Caenorhabditis elegans: one gene and its partners. The main gene of each other region encodes a partner of the protein of the gene in region 3 in a complex. Each region holds a gene or a part of one and is shown on either strand. Other genes may lie near its edges. The genes, in order: dis-3, exos-2 and crn-3.

Region 1 (4,787 bases), on a different chromosome or scaffold from region 3:
GGCTCGTCGTATTGGATATGGTATCAAGACCACCAATATGAAGAGACTTGGAGTTGATCCACCATGTGGAGTTCTCGATCCAAAGGAAGCTGTGCTTCTTGCTGTTTCCTGCGATGCTTTCGCCTTCGGACAAGAGGATACCAACAACGACCGTATCACTGTTGAGTGGACCAACACCCCGGATGGAGCTGCCAAGCAATTCCGTCGTGAATGGTTCCAGGGAGACGGTATGGTTCGTCGCAAGAACCTTCCAATCGAGTACAATCCATAGGATGTGTGAACTGGGTTTCTTAACAATAAACTTTTTTCAAGTATATGTTCTGTTTTTCTGTTTTAATCTGCAAATTGAATATATATTAATACTCAAGCGAACAAGTTTTGTGTTCCATCGATGCCCTTAACATAAGCATCCGGGATTTATTGTAAATCGTTTGGAACTATAGTAATCCTACCTTAATCTTCCAGTAGTCATTCAGTTCAGAAGACTACCCAACCATACTACTAACCCAGCCCATCTCTCCAAAACCTGAAAGCTGTTTTGCTCCGTAAAGGTCGAGGAGGGTGTATTTTTCTTACAAATCAAAGAAATTAACAAGTGAACCGATCACAACTTTTTTTGCTGATATGAGAGAAAAATACTTTATTGATTGGTTCGAGTAAATTTTCGAATTTTCGAAAAAGGAAAGATCCCTGGTATATAATGTCTCAGCTCTGCTATGTATTTTTCTATTTGAAATTCCGAATTCAAATTTTCTCTAGATGAAAGCCTTGGTATTGAATTCTATGCTGGGTTTAGTAAATTTTCGAATTTTCGATAAAAATTATATAATGAAGAAAAATATCCAAATTGGAGGTATTTTAATTTTAGAATACGGGAACGAAGAAGATCAAGATCACATACAAAGTTTAATGGATCTGAAGACATTTCAATTTATCTGGGTAGAACCAATTCTTCAACTCCAAATTCTACAGTAACCGATTCTTAAACATCTTATGGAAGTCCATCGAGATATGTATTTCATTATCATGTTCTTACCCGTTTTTTTTCAATAATGAGATTCTATATTTCGCTTAATGTTTTTATTGTTCTTATTGCTTCCAAAAATTAACATTAAAACAATAAATATTTTGCATCTTGACAAATTTAACATTTTAAAGTCTGGTCAGATTTCATCCTTGAGGACAGTGCTGTGTCTACATACATGAAAAAAAATCAAAAAGTGGCGATTATTTAGTTTCATCCGCATTAAATTTTGTAAGACAAAAAAGTTTGGCAATTTACCAAATCTATGACTGAAAAATTTTCAAAAATCTAAAAACGTTTTGAGCATTATTTTTTAAGGTTATGAGGCCCTAGATAATCATGTTTCCTACCCGATTATCTATTTTAGATGTTTAAACTTCCGTTTTCATGATTTTAGCCATACTCTATTTAGATATATTCTTCCTTTTCATTTCATTTTTCCTCGCAGCTGCGATGGCAGTGTTGTTCGAAGTGTTCGTTTTCGTAGTGCCTACGACACTCCGATGTTCCACTCGCGCGTGTTGTTCACCGTAAATGTACACTGAGTTTTTCTTCGAATAAAATAGTTTTTCCTTCATTTTTCACCTGATTCGTGCGATTTTATTTGTTTTTCACACGTATTTTCATTATTTGAAGGTATGGATTTGAACGTCAAACAAAGTGGAATTCATTCCGTCGCTTTGCACACGACTTACTTCCAAAATCGCTCGGGGAAAGTCTATAAAGTGAGAAAACCTCTCCGAAATCACCTAACCCAATTAAAATTTTGCAGAGAGCCGAAGAAAGATATCTACGAAATGATCTTTCATGTGGACTTGCTCAATGTGGAACCTGCAAGGATTTCGGCACAAATCCGCTGTTAAAAATTGAAAATCCCGTAAGAAATGCGAAAGTTGGAAGGCACGCGCTGATTGTGGATTCCACATCATTAATCAGATTCTACGATTTGTTTGATTCGTCTTTATTGAGGTAATGAATTAAAATTACAGCGGAATCATTTAAATGTAGATGGTTCTACTGTCCAATTATTAAATTCTTAATTTGTTGCTCCAAATTCAGTTTTTAGAAGTTGTCGGGATTGTAACAAACATCTAGTTTCAATTAAAAACTCTGTAAAATAATAAATTATATTTAATTTTCAGAGATCTCATCGTAACCCAGACTGTATGGGAAGGAGTCAAAGCAAAAGCTGTACCAGCCTACAAGAAAATGAATTCTTTGTGTTATGAAGATGCGAAAGACAGATTTCACGTGTTCATGAACGAATTTCACTGCGAGACCTTCTCCGAATCATCGAAATTTGAGGATTTGAGTCGTGGCGAAGAGCTTCTACTTTCAACAGCTCTTTACTTGAAAACTCATTGGCAGAAGCATAACGTGGCTCCTGTTGTCTTAGTTTTTGATGAAGATTCGAAAAAAAGAATGGAAAATCACTACCAACACGTGATGTATTTAAAGGTTAATAGTCGAAAAGTTCAAAACTCTGTGGATCTTTTCTGAAACTGGCGAAATTTCGAAAAAGAGCCAAATTTTGTTAAAAGAAAATTTTTGATTTCTTAAGACTCATAATGAAATTCTGTCGTTCCGAGCTAGTTTCAGACTATTTCAGCCAAAAACCCTAAAATATACACCTCTTTAACATATTTTCGCCGTAACTAAACTTTTATTCAACTAAAAATCATGATCCTTAATCAAAAATTGTATAATAAAGTACAATAAAGTTTGAAAAATGATCCAGTAACCCCGTAGAAAAAGAAAAAATCTCCAAATTTTCAGGAATACATACAAAATTTGGAGGATCCAGGAAAACAAGCACTTTTGGATCAAATGGCTGCGTATGAAAGCTCTGGAAATGGAAATGAGAAACAAATTTTCGATGAATATCTATCGCATGATAGAATTATGGAGGGAATTGCCAGTGGAACGATCAAAAGAGGAAATTTCAGTGTTTCAAGAGAAAATTATCGCGAAGCTACTGTTATTATTGATGATCAGTTAACATCTTGGTTCATCACAGGTGCTTGAATTTAGTTGAAATATTTATTTTCGAAAACCAACCAAATTTTTCACACAAGTCATTACTTTTTGCTGAGAATTTTAAAAAAACTTTTTTATAACGAAATTAGGTGGTTTTCGGTCATTTTGAGCGAAACAACTCTGAAATTATATTTTTAAAAAAGGTGAAATTTTTCCAAAAATTCCAATTCTCTGAATAATAAAATTTTTATTTCGAATTTTAGGAAATAATTGCAATCGTGCCGTCAATGGAGATACCGTCGCAGTTCAACTTTTGCCAGAAGACCAATGGACTGCTCCAGAGAAGAAAATTCGACTCCGTGACGTTGAAGAATATGTTAAAACTGCAGATGACATGGGAAATGAAGACGAGGAGAATGATGACGAGAACGATGAGCCAAAAGCTAAAAAGTCGAAGAAAATGACTGTTTCAACTGCAAAAGTTGTTGGAATTATCAAAAGAAATTGGCGTGAATATTGTGGAATGTTGCTGCCAAGTACAGTGAAAGGAGCCAGAAGACACTTGTTCTGTCCAGCTGAACGACTTATTCCAAGAATTCGAATCGAGACGGAACAGGCTGAAACTTTATCACAGCAGAGAATTGTGGTGGCTATTGATCACTGGCCAAGAGATTCCAAGTATCCACTTGGACATTACGTCAGGTATGTGAAATTTCAGAAAATCTTGAAATATTTTAACGGAATGACTGTTGTTTTCAGATCAATCGGAGAGATGGGATCCCGTGAAACTGAAAATGAGGTTCTCCTTCTCGAACATGATATTCCACATGCTCCATTCTCAGAATCTGTTCTTGATTGTCTACCACGTGAAGAATGGGAACCAGATCTCACTGAAAACCGCGGCCCTCTACCACGTGTTGATTTGAGAGATTTAACAATTTGTTCAGTTGATCCACTTGGATGTACAGATATTGACGACGCATTACACTGTAAACAAATTGGAGAGGATCTTTTCGAAGTTGGAGTTCATATTGCAGATGTCACGCATTTTGTTAGACCAGGTAAATATACTGAAATTATTTAAAAATTCAAGTTTTACTAAAAAAAATGTTTGTCCTTTGAGGTTCGAATAAAACCTCATTTATTTTCAAAAAAAGAACCAAAATTTCCTACGTTTAGGAACCGCAATCGACGATGAAGCAGCATTACGTGGAACTACAGTATACCTTTGTGATCGTCGTATCGATATGCTTCCATGTCTGCTCAGTTCCAATTTGTGCTCACTTCGCGGAGAAGAAGAGCGTTATGCATTTTCGTGTATTTGGACAATGACTTCTAGTGCTGATATACAATCAGTTAAATATCACAAATCTCTAATTAAATCAAAAGCTGCATTGACTTATGAGAAGGCACAAGAGATTATTGACGATCCAAAAGAGCAGAATGACGTGGCATTGGGATTACGTGGATTGATGAAATTGTCGAAAGTTTTGAATGCGAGAAGAACTGGAAATGGAGCATTGACGTTGGCATCGAGTGAAGTTCGCTTTGATATGGATTGGGAGTCCAGAACACCAAAGGTTTAAAATTTAAAAAATATTACAAAAAAAAAAGTTATATTCAAATTCAAAGAAGAAATATATTTTATACAACAGAGCGACCTAGAAACTGATTTTCATTTAGATTATTACAGTAATCTCTCATTAGAGCGCGCTTGCGAAATTTCCAGTTCTTTTTTGCTAACTTTTAAACCATTTTAAACCAATAAAAATGATTTAGATCAGGC
Region 2 (4,405 bases), on a different chromosome or scaffold from region 3:
TAAGAAGTTCTAACATTGTATTTTCCATGATTCTATATCAGGAGCTGTTTTCCCATTATTAATCCATAATATGATCGAAAGTTATTCACCATCGAGAATTAGAAGTTCGAATTAACTTCACATTGTTTTCTATGAAACGTTCATCCGATCCTCGTTTACCATTCGATCCTTTGTTATATTTTCCCATTTTTACTGTGCCCAACACCTCATATGCATCCTTTTAGGTTAGAAGTCTGCTAATTAGCAGCATAATTTTTGAGCTTTCACTGAATGTCTGTCCCATGCCTGCTCTCTCTTTTCCTTTTTGTTGTTTTCCTCTGGTCAATGTTTCAATTCTTCCTGGTTTTTTTTGAATCACAATAAACACTTTCCAGAAAATCGTCTCGATTCTCACTTGGTGGATTGAAAAGCGGATAGTGTGAATCGAAGTATATTCACTGAAATTGTTCGGTCATTAAGTTAGAATGTGGAGTTCAATTGAAACAATTCCTAGATCAAAAAAATTTCTGTGCGACCTTGGGTTTGCAAAGATTACGGGTCGATCGTTTAATTTCAGGGTATGGACCATTTCTTTCGAAACTTTCAGATTTTGTATCGCAGCTAATATCATCCGAAAAAGTAAAAAGTTTTATTTAATTGAAATGGTAAATAAGAAACTCAACAAGAAATAACAGCAACAAAAAAGGTAAATTTTAAATAGGGAGAGATCATTCAAAACAATTAGAATTACTTCTGCTGTTGAAGTTCCTGTAGAAGCCGTGCAGCAATCAGGTAGGCGAGTCGAGAAGACGTGTCTTGCTCGGCGAGCTCTTTGATCTGAAATTATTTTTCTAATTTTTTAAAACTGAAGAAACAATCGATACTTCATAAGGCTGACTCATTTCATAGCATGTTGTCAGTGAATTGAGGTAGATCGAGATGGAATAATCACGAAGAAGACGAACACAGGCAGCGATTCTGACCATAGTTACGCGTACGTCGGGAGGTACAATCTGAAATTTATTTTATTGCGAAAAAAGCCAAATTTTTTTGTTTTTCTTTTCGATTATGATGATCACGAGTATGATGAATAAATTATAAGGTCTCGTCAATCATTGGAATTATTATAATTTCTCGTTGTTGAGTCACCAAATATGTGCGCTAATTGTTATTTTCGATTCATTTTTCTCAAGAATCACTATCACACCTGAAACTCGTGAACATGTGATCCATCCTCTTCAAGTGTGGTCTCCGGCAACGACGGCGTGACCCACACACTTCCGTTGCAGCCAATAATCACAGCCATTCCGTAGGGTAACGTGTGAAAATGTTTCTTGGACTTTTTGATCAAATGTGGAGGAACCTGCAAAAAAAAGAAATTAATTCCGTGACTTCCCACTCATTTTGTGGATTTTTTTGTCGCTTTATTTATTTTGGCAGCATAAACAAAAAAGAAATATTGCTTTGAACGAGATGTCGCATAAGAATGAGAAAACTCAACACTTTGAAAAGGCGGAGGATATTCGTACAAAAGTGCTCGATTCAATGATCTACCGACTCGATGAACGTGCAAATATGGTTATCACGGAGGTTAGCTTTTCATTAATTTTTTTTGAAATAGAAAATTATTATTAAAGAGCCCAATTCCCGAATGGCGTGCTTATACACAATGGATTCTCATTGCTGCGTTGCTTGTAATTTTTTGTATTCTTCGTTATGGCGTCGAGACTGTTGAACTGCATCCAACTGCAAAGAAGGATCAAGATCCTGTGATTGAGTACAGAGATCGAGAATTGAATAAAACTTCTGAGGCTTTTAGAGCAAGACGCCGTACGTGAGCTAATTGGAATCAATTGGATGATGAATTTAAAGAAATATAACAACTTTCCGAACTATTATTTAAAAATTTATAATTGCGTTTTCTTAAGATTTTATAAAATATTACCTTAATCAATATTCCTTGTTGCAATTTTCCGTACTTATTATTTCTTGTGTGTAGCATAAGTGTTCCGTCGTGCTGGACTTGTTGGACTTCTGCACAGATCAGTTCTCCGTTTTTCAAGAATTCGCTCATTTTCTCCTCATCTTCTACATCTTTTCTGCGAAAGTCTCCTCCTGGCAGGAGAACTGAACCTAGTGGAAGATTTGCATGAAGACGAGATGCCACATCACACTGAAAAACAATTATCGTTATATTTTTCACTTAAAAATTTGAAACCTTCCACCGTTTTGCTTGAACCTCCACGACACGGGCAACTACAACATCTCCGACTTCACCAGCATATCGTTGTTTAATAGTTTTAACCATCAACAGTCGATTTAATTGTTGAACGACTCCAGAGAGAGAACTGACGATTTCTCCGTCGCGAACGTAAGTTCCATGTCCTCTGAAAATCTTAATTTTTTCATTTTTCAAAAAGATATAACAGTATTTTACAATATACATACCTCATAAACTGTTGCGGTGCATCACAAACTGAATGTCCTGGAATAACAATTTTTGTCTCATCAATATCATTTCTTGCTTCGGACATTGATAACATCATCCATGGTGATACGAGGGGTGGACCGGTGACTTCGAAACTCATTTTTTAAATTTTTTTTGTCTGCAAATAACCAAATTTAAATAAACTTAAATTAAACAAAGAAACTGAAAAAAGCTTTCATTCGAAATGAAAATAAAAATAATTATTTCCAACGACACTCCGAAATGACGGAAAGCGTGCTGTTTATCGTAAACCCACACGTCACTCAATTGGCGCCTATTCAAATGTTGATTTTCGACCATAAAAGTGCGAGCCAATTGAGCGTGCAAATTTAATTGTTTCTGCTAAACCAATGACGATGAAAACCCGAAATTGAAATAAAAATAAGGTTCGACACGAAGCCATTGTCTGACTTTTTATAAAGGTGTCATTGGAAGGAAGTGTGAGTTGAATGGGACACCTATAATTTCGACTTGCATGCGAACGGGAAAAATACAACAAAAGAGGATACGTAGAAATATATTGGAGAAAAACTGAGTATTTAAAACAGAAGTAAAAATCGTAAAGGAAAAATTTTCAAAACTTTGGTGGTTTATTGTGCGATTTTTAAATATTTCCTAGATTCCGATTTTGCGGGTTTATGTACTCTTTTTTATTTAGGTTGACTGTAAAAGTATTCTTCTCCATCTAAAAATTAAAAAAAAAACATTTTCAGACGGTAGACGGTCATGTGGAACTCTTAGAAAAAAGTTTTGAAATTTTGAAAAAATTGAAAAAAAATCAATGTTTCTGAAAAAACATTTATAAAGTTACCATTTTCTGATTAACAATGTTCGAATTTTCGAATTGGTATTTCTTATTTTGATTGAGAGTTTTATGAGAAGTATTGAAACATATTTTTGATATTATTCTTAAATTTCGTTAAAAGTTATTAAAAATGCATATGTACCCGGAATATTGTAATTGAGCCAGTATTTGAACAACTTCTCAAGAACTTCAACTAAACATTCGGTTAATTTCAGGAAAATCAATATTATTTCTTCTGTTCTATTCATATTTCAGATTGAAATCTTTCACAGAACAGTGCAAATTTCCTAAAAAGAATGTGTCGCAAAAGAAAGGTCCACATATTTTTCTAGCAGTTGTACACTTGCTCCATATTCGAAGCTCATTTTTTATTTTTTGTTTTATATCAAAAATTGTTAACTGACAACTAATTGACTATTTACTTTTCTAAAATTTCCCATAAAAATAGTAGTAGGAGTCTTACAAAAGCTCCCAGAAAAATTTGTAAAAAATCGAAAAAAAAAAACACTGTTTCTGATACACTATTTACAAAATTGTGGTTCATCGAAAACAATGTTTTCAAAATATTGTATCTAATACATCGAGGCATTGATTAATTTTAGAAGTTATAACTTGGTTGTCTTTAAATTTTTGAACAACTGTCAACTGGCAACTTATTGATTATTTAATTTTCTAAAATTTATCAATTTTACAGTTTGTAAACTGTTTTGAATGAATTGAGATATGAGCTGTTAAAGTATGATAGTCAGGTGCAAGTACTTATTTATTTTGTCATTTCATTTTTTCGTAGTTTTAAAATCGCTAACCAATGTCTAGAAAACTTTATACAAAATTATCCATAATTTGCATTATCAGAGCCCTTAATTTCCCACAAAAATTCGGCGAAAAATGTGGGTGGACGGACGGGTGTTTTTCGATGACAAATGGACAGATCAAAAGCTTTCATTAATTATTTGAATATACTTCTTTTCACTCATCTTCCGTCATTTTCACACGCCTACCGTACTCCTCCATTGACTTCGCAAATCGCGGCGAATTTGAAATTAATATTTTAAAGAAATTTCTTACAGAATCTTTTATATTTTTTTGCGTTGATTCCAAGATCCGGGGGAATTTTAAATTTTTATTCATCA
Region 3 (7,216 bases):
TTACCGTATTTCTGGAGCAAAAATAGAAAATCTTCGCGCTTTAGAATTATCTATATTCTTCTTATTACAGGACAGCTGGAATCTTCTGCGTCGCTTTCTCCACTATGGTTGGCTGGCCGTTCTCTGCTGTCTTGGGGCTTCCGATTGTTGCCGATATGCTTTTATTGAAAGGATTAAGAATTAGATTTATTCTGACATCGTTAGTGATTGGATTATGTATTGGTGGTGTGCAGGTTATTACTGATAGTCATTATTTTGGAAAGACTGTTTTGGTAAGTAAATTTAATTTCTAAAATTTAAATTCTAAGTTAATTAAATCCTTTAAGGCCCCATTAAACATCTTCCTCTACAACGTTGTCAGTGGTCCTGGTCCATCACTTTACGGAGAAGAACCGCTCTCTTTCTACATCAAAAATCTCTTCAACAACTGGAATATCGTCATATTTGCTGCTCCATTTGGCTTTCCTCTGTCTCTTGCCTATTTCACAAAAGTCTGGATGTCTCAGGATAGAAACGTGGCACTCTATCAAAGATTTGCACCAATCATCCTATTGGCTGTCACCACTGCCGCATGGCTTTTGATTTTTGGAAGTCAAGCTCATAAAGAAGAACGTTTCCTATTCCCAATTTATCCATTCATTGCTTTCTTCGCTGCTCTTGCATTGGATGCCACGAATCGACTGTGTCTCAAGAAATTAGGAATGGATAATATTCTCAGCATTCTCTTCATTTTGTGCTTTGCAATTCTCTCGGCATCAAGGACGTACTCAATTCATAACAATTATGGATCTCACGTTGAGATTTATCGATCTCTGAACGCAGAGCTGACGAATCGGACGAATTTCAAAAATTTCCATGTAAGAGTTTTATAAATTTCAATGTTTTTATTTTTTCGAAAACTCCCAGTTGTTCAGGATCCAATTCGTGTATGCGTTGGAAAAGAATGGCACCGCTTCCCTTCATCGTTCTTCATTCCACAAACAGTTTCTGATGGGAAAAAAGTGGAAATGCGATTTATTCAAAGTGAATTCCGCGGACTTTTACCTAAACCATTCTTAAAATCGGACAAGTTGGTGGAAGTTACACGTCATATACCAACAGAAATGAATAATCTGAATCAAGAAGAAATATCGAGATATGTGGATTTAGATTCATGCGATTATGTGGTTGATGTTGATATGCCACAGTCGGATAGAGAACCTGATTTCAGGAAAATGGTAGGGGTTTTGAATATGGAGAAACGTAAATGGAGATTTTATTTCAAAAAAAAAATCATCTCAAATTCAGCGACAAAACTACAAAAGAAAAACAAAAAAAAAATGGAAAAGAATTGAAAACGCGATTCTACAATTTTGGCTAAATTCCCTGTTTGAGGAAATCAAATTTTTAAATTCAAATTTTCATTCTTTCCCATTTTTTTTCGTTTTTGACAATTTTGGATTATTTCAAGCATACTCACACTACTCCTTCCTGTAGAAATGTTCTTAATATATAATTGTAAATTCATATCTATTTTTAGGAAGATAACTGGAAACCAGTGGATTCGCTTCCATTCATCGATGTCTCCAAATCAACAGGATTCCATGGGCTTCTTCGTGCATTTTATGTTCCATTCCTTTCTGCCAAACATAATGTCATGACGACATGCACTTTATATCGAAAATCAAATTTGTAAAACATGTATTAAATATTTATTGTTCACTTTGTCTGAACGGAATTCAGATTCAGGGATTCCGATTTCATGTTAATTTCGGGTTTTTTCTTTTAGGTCACCTTCTTTAAATTTAATTTATTCTTCTTATTTATTGCCTGGAAATTTTTAAAATTTGTATTTATCGTTAATATTATTTATTACCAAGAAATATTTTTTTTACAATTTATTCTCATTTATTGTTTTTCTTTTCTTGGTTTCAAGTCAACGATTTATTATTTTTCTTGATTTTTTTCTAAACTTTCGTTTCTCAAGTTCAAAGAAAATTTACAGAATGTCAGGAGAAGAATCAATGCCCGATGAAGAGCAGAAGCAATCTGAGGAAGAAGAGGAAATGATAAGAAAAAGAACGTTAGCGATGAGGAAAAAAGTCGAAGAAATTATGAGAAATGGCGCCGGGCTTGTTCGTGAATCAAATGGTTTGCCGAAAGCTGGTGCGGATTATGAGCTCTACAACTCGTATCCGACATTCAACACGTTTATGAAGCGATCCGAGCAGAGATTGAATGCACTGTGAGTTGAGCGTCTGAATCCGAAAAAGCTCCGGAAAATTAAAAAAAAATTTAATCGACATTTTTTTAAGCCAAAAACACCAAAAAACATTTTTTTTTCTCCAGAAACACAAAAAAAAAGAAACTTTATTTCAAAAAGCTTAAATATTTTCATCAAACATGCATTTTAAGTTTTAAATTTTGAAGTTATTTTGGAAAAAAACTTTAAAAAAAATTATTCGCCAAAAACTACAAAAAAACTACAAAAAATTTCAAAAAATCGAAAAACGAAAAATTTTCGATTTTTTTTCAATAGAAAATTTTCCGTTTTTTCGATTTTCCGCTATTTCGAGATTTTTAAAAAATTAGCTTTAAAATTTGGTATTTTTGCTTCTTTTTAGAAGAAATTGTCATGTTTTTTCTCATCAATATAAACTAAATTATTTGAAATAAATCATATTTTATGGTGAATTTTTTGAACTTTTTTTTTTGAGTTTTAGGAAAATCGAAAAAAAAAACGAACATTTTTGGCTTTTCTATTTTAAGTTAAAAACATCGAAAAAATCGGAAAACGACATTCTTGGCAGGGCCATGTTCAGAGAAAATTTCATTTAAAAACAAAAAACTTGAAATTCCATATTTTCAGCATGAACAAAGTCACCAAGTCAATAGGATGTGCAATGCGAGTTCCAGATGTCGGTTCATCAGTCGAACATTACACAGAATGTGTTATCGAGGCTCAGGACAACATTGCAGAACGTGCAGCAACTCTCCATGAAGCGCTGAAAAAAGCCGAGCTAGATGAGATAGTCAAAGTTCCAGAATTCATTACAAAAGCCGCCCCAACAAATCGAAAAACCGAAGCAGAAGTTTCAGCGGCAATGAGAACGTTTTCAGCGAATATTGGAACGGTTTTGGCGGAGAAGTTTAGAGAACGAAGAGAAGAAGCTGCTCAGATGGTTGTGTTGGAAAAACCACAGAAGACGTATAACATCAGTTCGGACAACTCACAAGCTCCTTTTTCTTCTAAATTGACTGTTAAACATCATGCCATTGAAAAACGAACGGGTATTGTTCTCCACGATGACGATGAGTCTGGAAGAAGAGATTGGATAAGTGCTGAAACAGAAACTGAAGAGGAACATCCATATATCGCTGAAATTCTTCACTTCAAAGTTCCAGAAGCTCAGCTGAAATCTGCAGAGTGTTTAAAATTCACAGCATTGAAGGATACTCCATTGACAATGATTGATACTAAGGAGAAGCTTGAAGCATTAACGAAAACTTTGAATTCTGTAAAAGAGTTCGCAGTCGACTTGGAGCATCACCAAATGCGATCGTATCTTGGATTGACCTGCCTTATTCAAATTTCAACAAGAGATGAAGACTTTATCATTGATCCCTTCCCAATATGGGATCATGTTGGAATGCTCAATGAGCCATTTGCAAATCCACGTATTCTCAAAGTTTTTCACGGTTCTGACAGTGATGTTCTCTGGCTACAAAGGGATTATGGAGTTCATGTTGTTAATTTATTTGATACATATGTTGCCATGAAAAAGCTGAAGTATCCTAAATTCAGTCTTGCCTACCTCACTCTCCGATTTGCCGACGTTGTTCTGGACAAACAATATCAACTGGCTGACTGGAGAGCACGGCCTCTACGAAATGCGATGATAAACTACGCGAGAGAGGATACTCATTACCTTTTGTATAGTTATGATATGCTCCGAGAGCAACTTCTGAAACAAGATACCAAGGATTTGGCCAACGTCTACTCAGAGTCTAGCGATCTTTGCATAAAAGTATACAAGAAACCAGTGTTCAATCCGAAAGGATATTTGACGGAAATAAAATTCCGATTCACACTGAATACTCGACAGGACTATGCACTTACACATCTTTTCAAATGGAGAGATGTAGTAGCTAGAGCAGAAGATGAGAGCCCACATTTTGTACTTCCAAATCATATGATGCTATCACTTTCTGAGACATTACCACGAGATGTTGGAGGTATCTACGCGTGTTGTAACCCGTTACCGTACTTTGTGAAACAGCGAACTGGTGATATTTTGAAGTAAGTTTTGAGAATTGTGGGAGTCCCAGCATTTTCCGAAAAATGAAAATTTCGTAAATATAAGCTCCGGGACTCAAAAGACCTCATAATAAATATTCTAATTATAAAATTACAGAATAATTGTGGAGGCCAGAGATGTGAAGCTTGAGAAAGTGGGATTGTCGGCGAAAGAAAGAAATGATGCACAGGAAGCACGAGGTGTAATGAACGATACTATGGATCATATCACTTCAGTTTTAAAATCAAAAATCGACTTTTCACACACTAGATTTGACGAAGAACGCGGAGAAATTTATATTGATAAGACAGATGAAGGAATGGATATCGAGCTGAAAGATCATAAAGAATCATTGTTATCAGTGCTCCAAACGGCTGAAATTCCAAGTGTGGAAACTATGATTGTTGTGGAAAAAGGAAAGAAATCGGATAATCAGAAAGTTAAAAAGTTGTTGAATGAACTTGACAAATTTGTAACTCCATTTGAATGTTATCAAATGATGATGATTACAAAAGAAAAGCAAGAAGAAGAAGAGAGAAAAGAGGCTGAGAGAAAGAAATTGGAGGAAGGTGATCTACCGAAGACTATGTTCTCACATCATGATGCTCCGATTAATAGAAAACCTGAATTCGATGCGAAGGTTGGTAGATATAATGAAATCTGAAAAAAATCGTTTTTTTTTTTGGGAAAAACCGAAAAAAAATGTCTGAAAAGAAAATTCCAAAATCGGTATTGCTCATACGGAATTCAGAGATTGCTTTATTCTTAAAAAAAAATTTTCGGCGGAAAAACGTACAGATTTGATAGAAAATTTTTTTTTTTCGATTTTCTCTGAAAAAAATTTAGTAAAAAAACTTTAAAAAAAAATTATCTGAAAAAATCACTAAAATCTTTTTTTAATTTTCTCTGAAAAAATAAATAAAAATGAATTTTTTTTCGATTTTCTCTGAAAAAATCAGAAAATAAAACTTCTTTTTTTTCGATTTTCTCAAAAAAAAAATAAATGAAAAAAAATATATTTAAAAATTCCGATGACATCCTTGGTTTTAATAAGATAATTTTCAGCTTCTAAACGTTGATACACTGAAGCTGGTCCCAGATGATCCGAACAAGCCGAAAGATCCAGAACCTTCACCAATGGAAGAATCTTCATCGGAACCTCAAATCTTCGATCCATCTCGTTTTACCGACGACCAGCTACTGTCAAAGAAGGCAATGAAAAGAAAGAGAGATGCTGCTCGACGAAATATAGATGTTTCTGTTGTGCTCGGCGAGTCGTCGAGTAGTTCAGATCCAAAAAAGAAAAAATCTGATGATGATGCTCCCGTTGAAGATTTTGATTATGAAAAAGCTGATAGTAGTGCATTTGGTAAGTTATATTCCTTTGAATTATCCAGACGCGAGATTTAAGGCTAAAAATACGGTACCAGGTCGCGACAACTTGCAAAATGGTGTGCGCCTTTGAAGAGTACTGTAGTTTCAAATTTTCGTTACTGGGAAATTTTCTTCGGTTTTATTTTAGTTTTTTAATAAATAAATTTAAAACTAAAAAAAATTCCGCAGCAACAAAAGTTTGAAATTACAGTACTCTTTAAAGGAGCACACCAGGGCTGGGACAAAAAATATTTTTGAACAAAAAACCAAAATTGAAATTTACGAATTTGCGAAAAACGAACAAAAACCAAAAAAAGTTGATGCTTGAATTTATTTTTCAAAAAAATCGTGAATATGTGAAAATGTATTGGTTTTTCAAAAAATATTTTTGTTGGTCTGAAAAAAAAAACAAAAAAATCAATTTTTCGTCAAAATACAAGAAATATTTCAATTTTTGTTGAATTCCAACAAAAAAACCCAAAAAAAAATCAATGTTATTCGTCGAAGTGCCAATAAAAGCTATTAAAAAACCCAAAAAAAAAAATTCAAAATACCAAAAAAAAACACCAAAAAATCAATTTTTCGTTAAATTCCAAAAAGAACCGCAAATTTGCAAAAAAAAAACGTTTTCTGGCTCAAAATTTGGATAATACCGTACCCAATTATATAGCTCTCAAAAAAGTCTCGAAATCAAATTCCTAATAAATTATTTCCAGAAAAACCTGTTCGAGACAACAACGCCGATTTCGATCCATTCCATCAAAAATATCGATTGAAGAACAAGACAAAGAAGAATATGGCTATGAAAAAATCATCGAATCGACAAGGAACCATCAACTACAAAAAATGATTAAATTGTTACATCCCATCCCATTACCATTGTTATTTTACTTTTTGTTGTTGTGCTTTTTCTTTTGCTTTGAAATTAAAGAAAACTGTTTTTGAAATCTTTTTATTTATTTATTTTTAATTCAATTTGGTTTTCCACCAATTTCAGTTATATTTTCTACAAAATTCATTTTTGTGATTAATTTTGATTTCAGATATCCCCAAATGGCCGGCAGACTTCGTGAAATGCGTTGTGAGCTCTCGTTCCTCAAAAACGCGGATGGCTCGGCATGCTTCTCCCAGGGTGCCACGTGTATTTGGGCTTCATGCAGTGGTCCTGGAGATGTTCACGCTTCGAAAGCAAGTGATGAGGCTATGACTCTGGATATTAGTTATAGAGCAAATTGTGGAGATAACAAGTTCAATGTGGTAGGGGTTTTTGTAGAAATTACTTTTGGAATAATTCTTTTTTCAGCTGAACAATATCATTCATTCTACTCTATCCAATGCAATCAATCTCGAATTGTTTCCCCACACAACAATTTCTGTCACAGTACATGGAATTCAGGATGATGGAAGTATGGGAGCTGTAGCGATAAATGGAGCTTGTTTTGCTCTACTTGACAATGGAATGCCATTCGAGTAAGTTTTTTTAGATACTGTTTTAAAACTGTAATATAATTTTTCAGAACAGTCTTCTGTGGTGTCCTTATTGTTCGTGTCAAAGATGAGCTGAT

The links.
Region 1: crn-3 (region 3) and dis-3 share a complex: the UniProt entries of both Caenorhabditis elegans proteins name them as parts of the RNA exosome complex.
Region 2: crn-3 (region 3) and exos-2 share a complex: the UniProt entries of both Caenorhabditis elegans proteins name them as parts of the RNA exosome complex.

Annotation. Positions count from the first base shown.
Region 1 is NC_003282.8:10,095,546-10,100,332, forward strand, and holds the start of dis-3 (putative exosome complex exonuclease RRP44), read left to right. Parts: upstream 1-1,656; 5' UTR 1,657-1,662; coding exon 1,663-1,749; intron 1,750-1,796; coding exon 1,797-1,993; intron 1,994-2,166; coding exon 2,167-2,482; intron 2,483-2,800; coding exon 2,801-3,041; intron 3,042-3,264; coding exon 3,265-3,703; intron 3,704-3,760; coding exon 3,761-4,062; intron 4,063-4,180; coding exon 4,181-4,581; intron 4,582-4,787. Other genes in the region: msp-36 (Major sperm protein 10/36/56/76), read left to right, coding at 1-271. UniProt on the Caenorhabditis elegans protein: Putative catalytic component of the RNA exosome complex which has 3'->5' exoribonuclease activity and participates in a multitude of cellular RNA processing and degradation events. Has both 3'-5' exonuclease and endonuclease activities.
Region 2 is NC_003282.8:6,413,665-6,418,069, reverse strand, and holds exos-2 (Exosome complex component RRP4 homolog), read right to left. Parts: upstream 2,593-4,405; 5' UTR 2,568-2,592; coding exon 2,428-2,567; intron 2,367-2,427; coding exon 2,198-2,366; intron 2,153-2,197; coding exon 1,925-2,152; exon of another isoform or gene 1,818-1,924; coding exon of another isoform or gene 1,617-1,817; intron 1,570-1,616; coding exon of another isoform or gene 1,453-1,569; exon of another isoform or gene 1,417-1,452; intron 1,343-1,416; coding exon 1,187-1,342; intron 993-1,186; coding exon 864-992; intron 817-863; coding exon 727-816; 3' UTR 610-726; downstream 1-609. Other genes in the region: Y73B6BL.22 (Nitrogen regulatory IIA protein), read left to right, coding at 1,453-1,569, 1,617-1,817. UniProt on the Caenorhabditis elegans protein: Non-catalytic component of the RNA exosome complex which has 3'->5' exoribonuclease activity and participates in a multitude of cellular RNA processing and degradation events. Involved in regulation of antisense ribosomal siRNA production.
Region 3 is NC_003280.10:10,586,058-10,593,273, forward strand, and holds crn-3 (Exosome complex component 10 homolog), read left to right. Parts: upstream 1-1,984; 5' UTR 1,985-1,985; coding exon 1,986-2,224; intron 2,225-2,848; coding exon 2,849-4,279; intron 4,280-4,394; coding exon 4,395-4,917; intron 4,918-5,342; coding exon 5,343-5,646; intron 5,647-6,367; coding exon 6,368-6,501; 3' UTR 6,502-6,595; downstream 6,596-7,216. Other genes in the region: Alpha-1,2-mannosyltransferase algn-9, read left to right, coding at 71-272, 327-857, 915-1,217, 1,520-1,675; crn-5 (Exosome complex component RRP46 homolog), read left to right, coding at 6,705-6,908, 6,955-7,121, 7,169-7,216. UniProt on the Caenorhabditis elegans protein: Catalytic component of the RNA exosome complex which has 3'->5' exoribonuclease activity and participates in a multitude of cellular RNA processing and degradation events. Involved in apoptotic DNA degradation.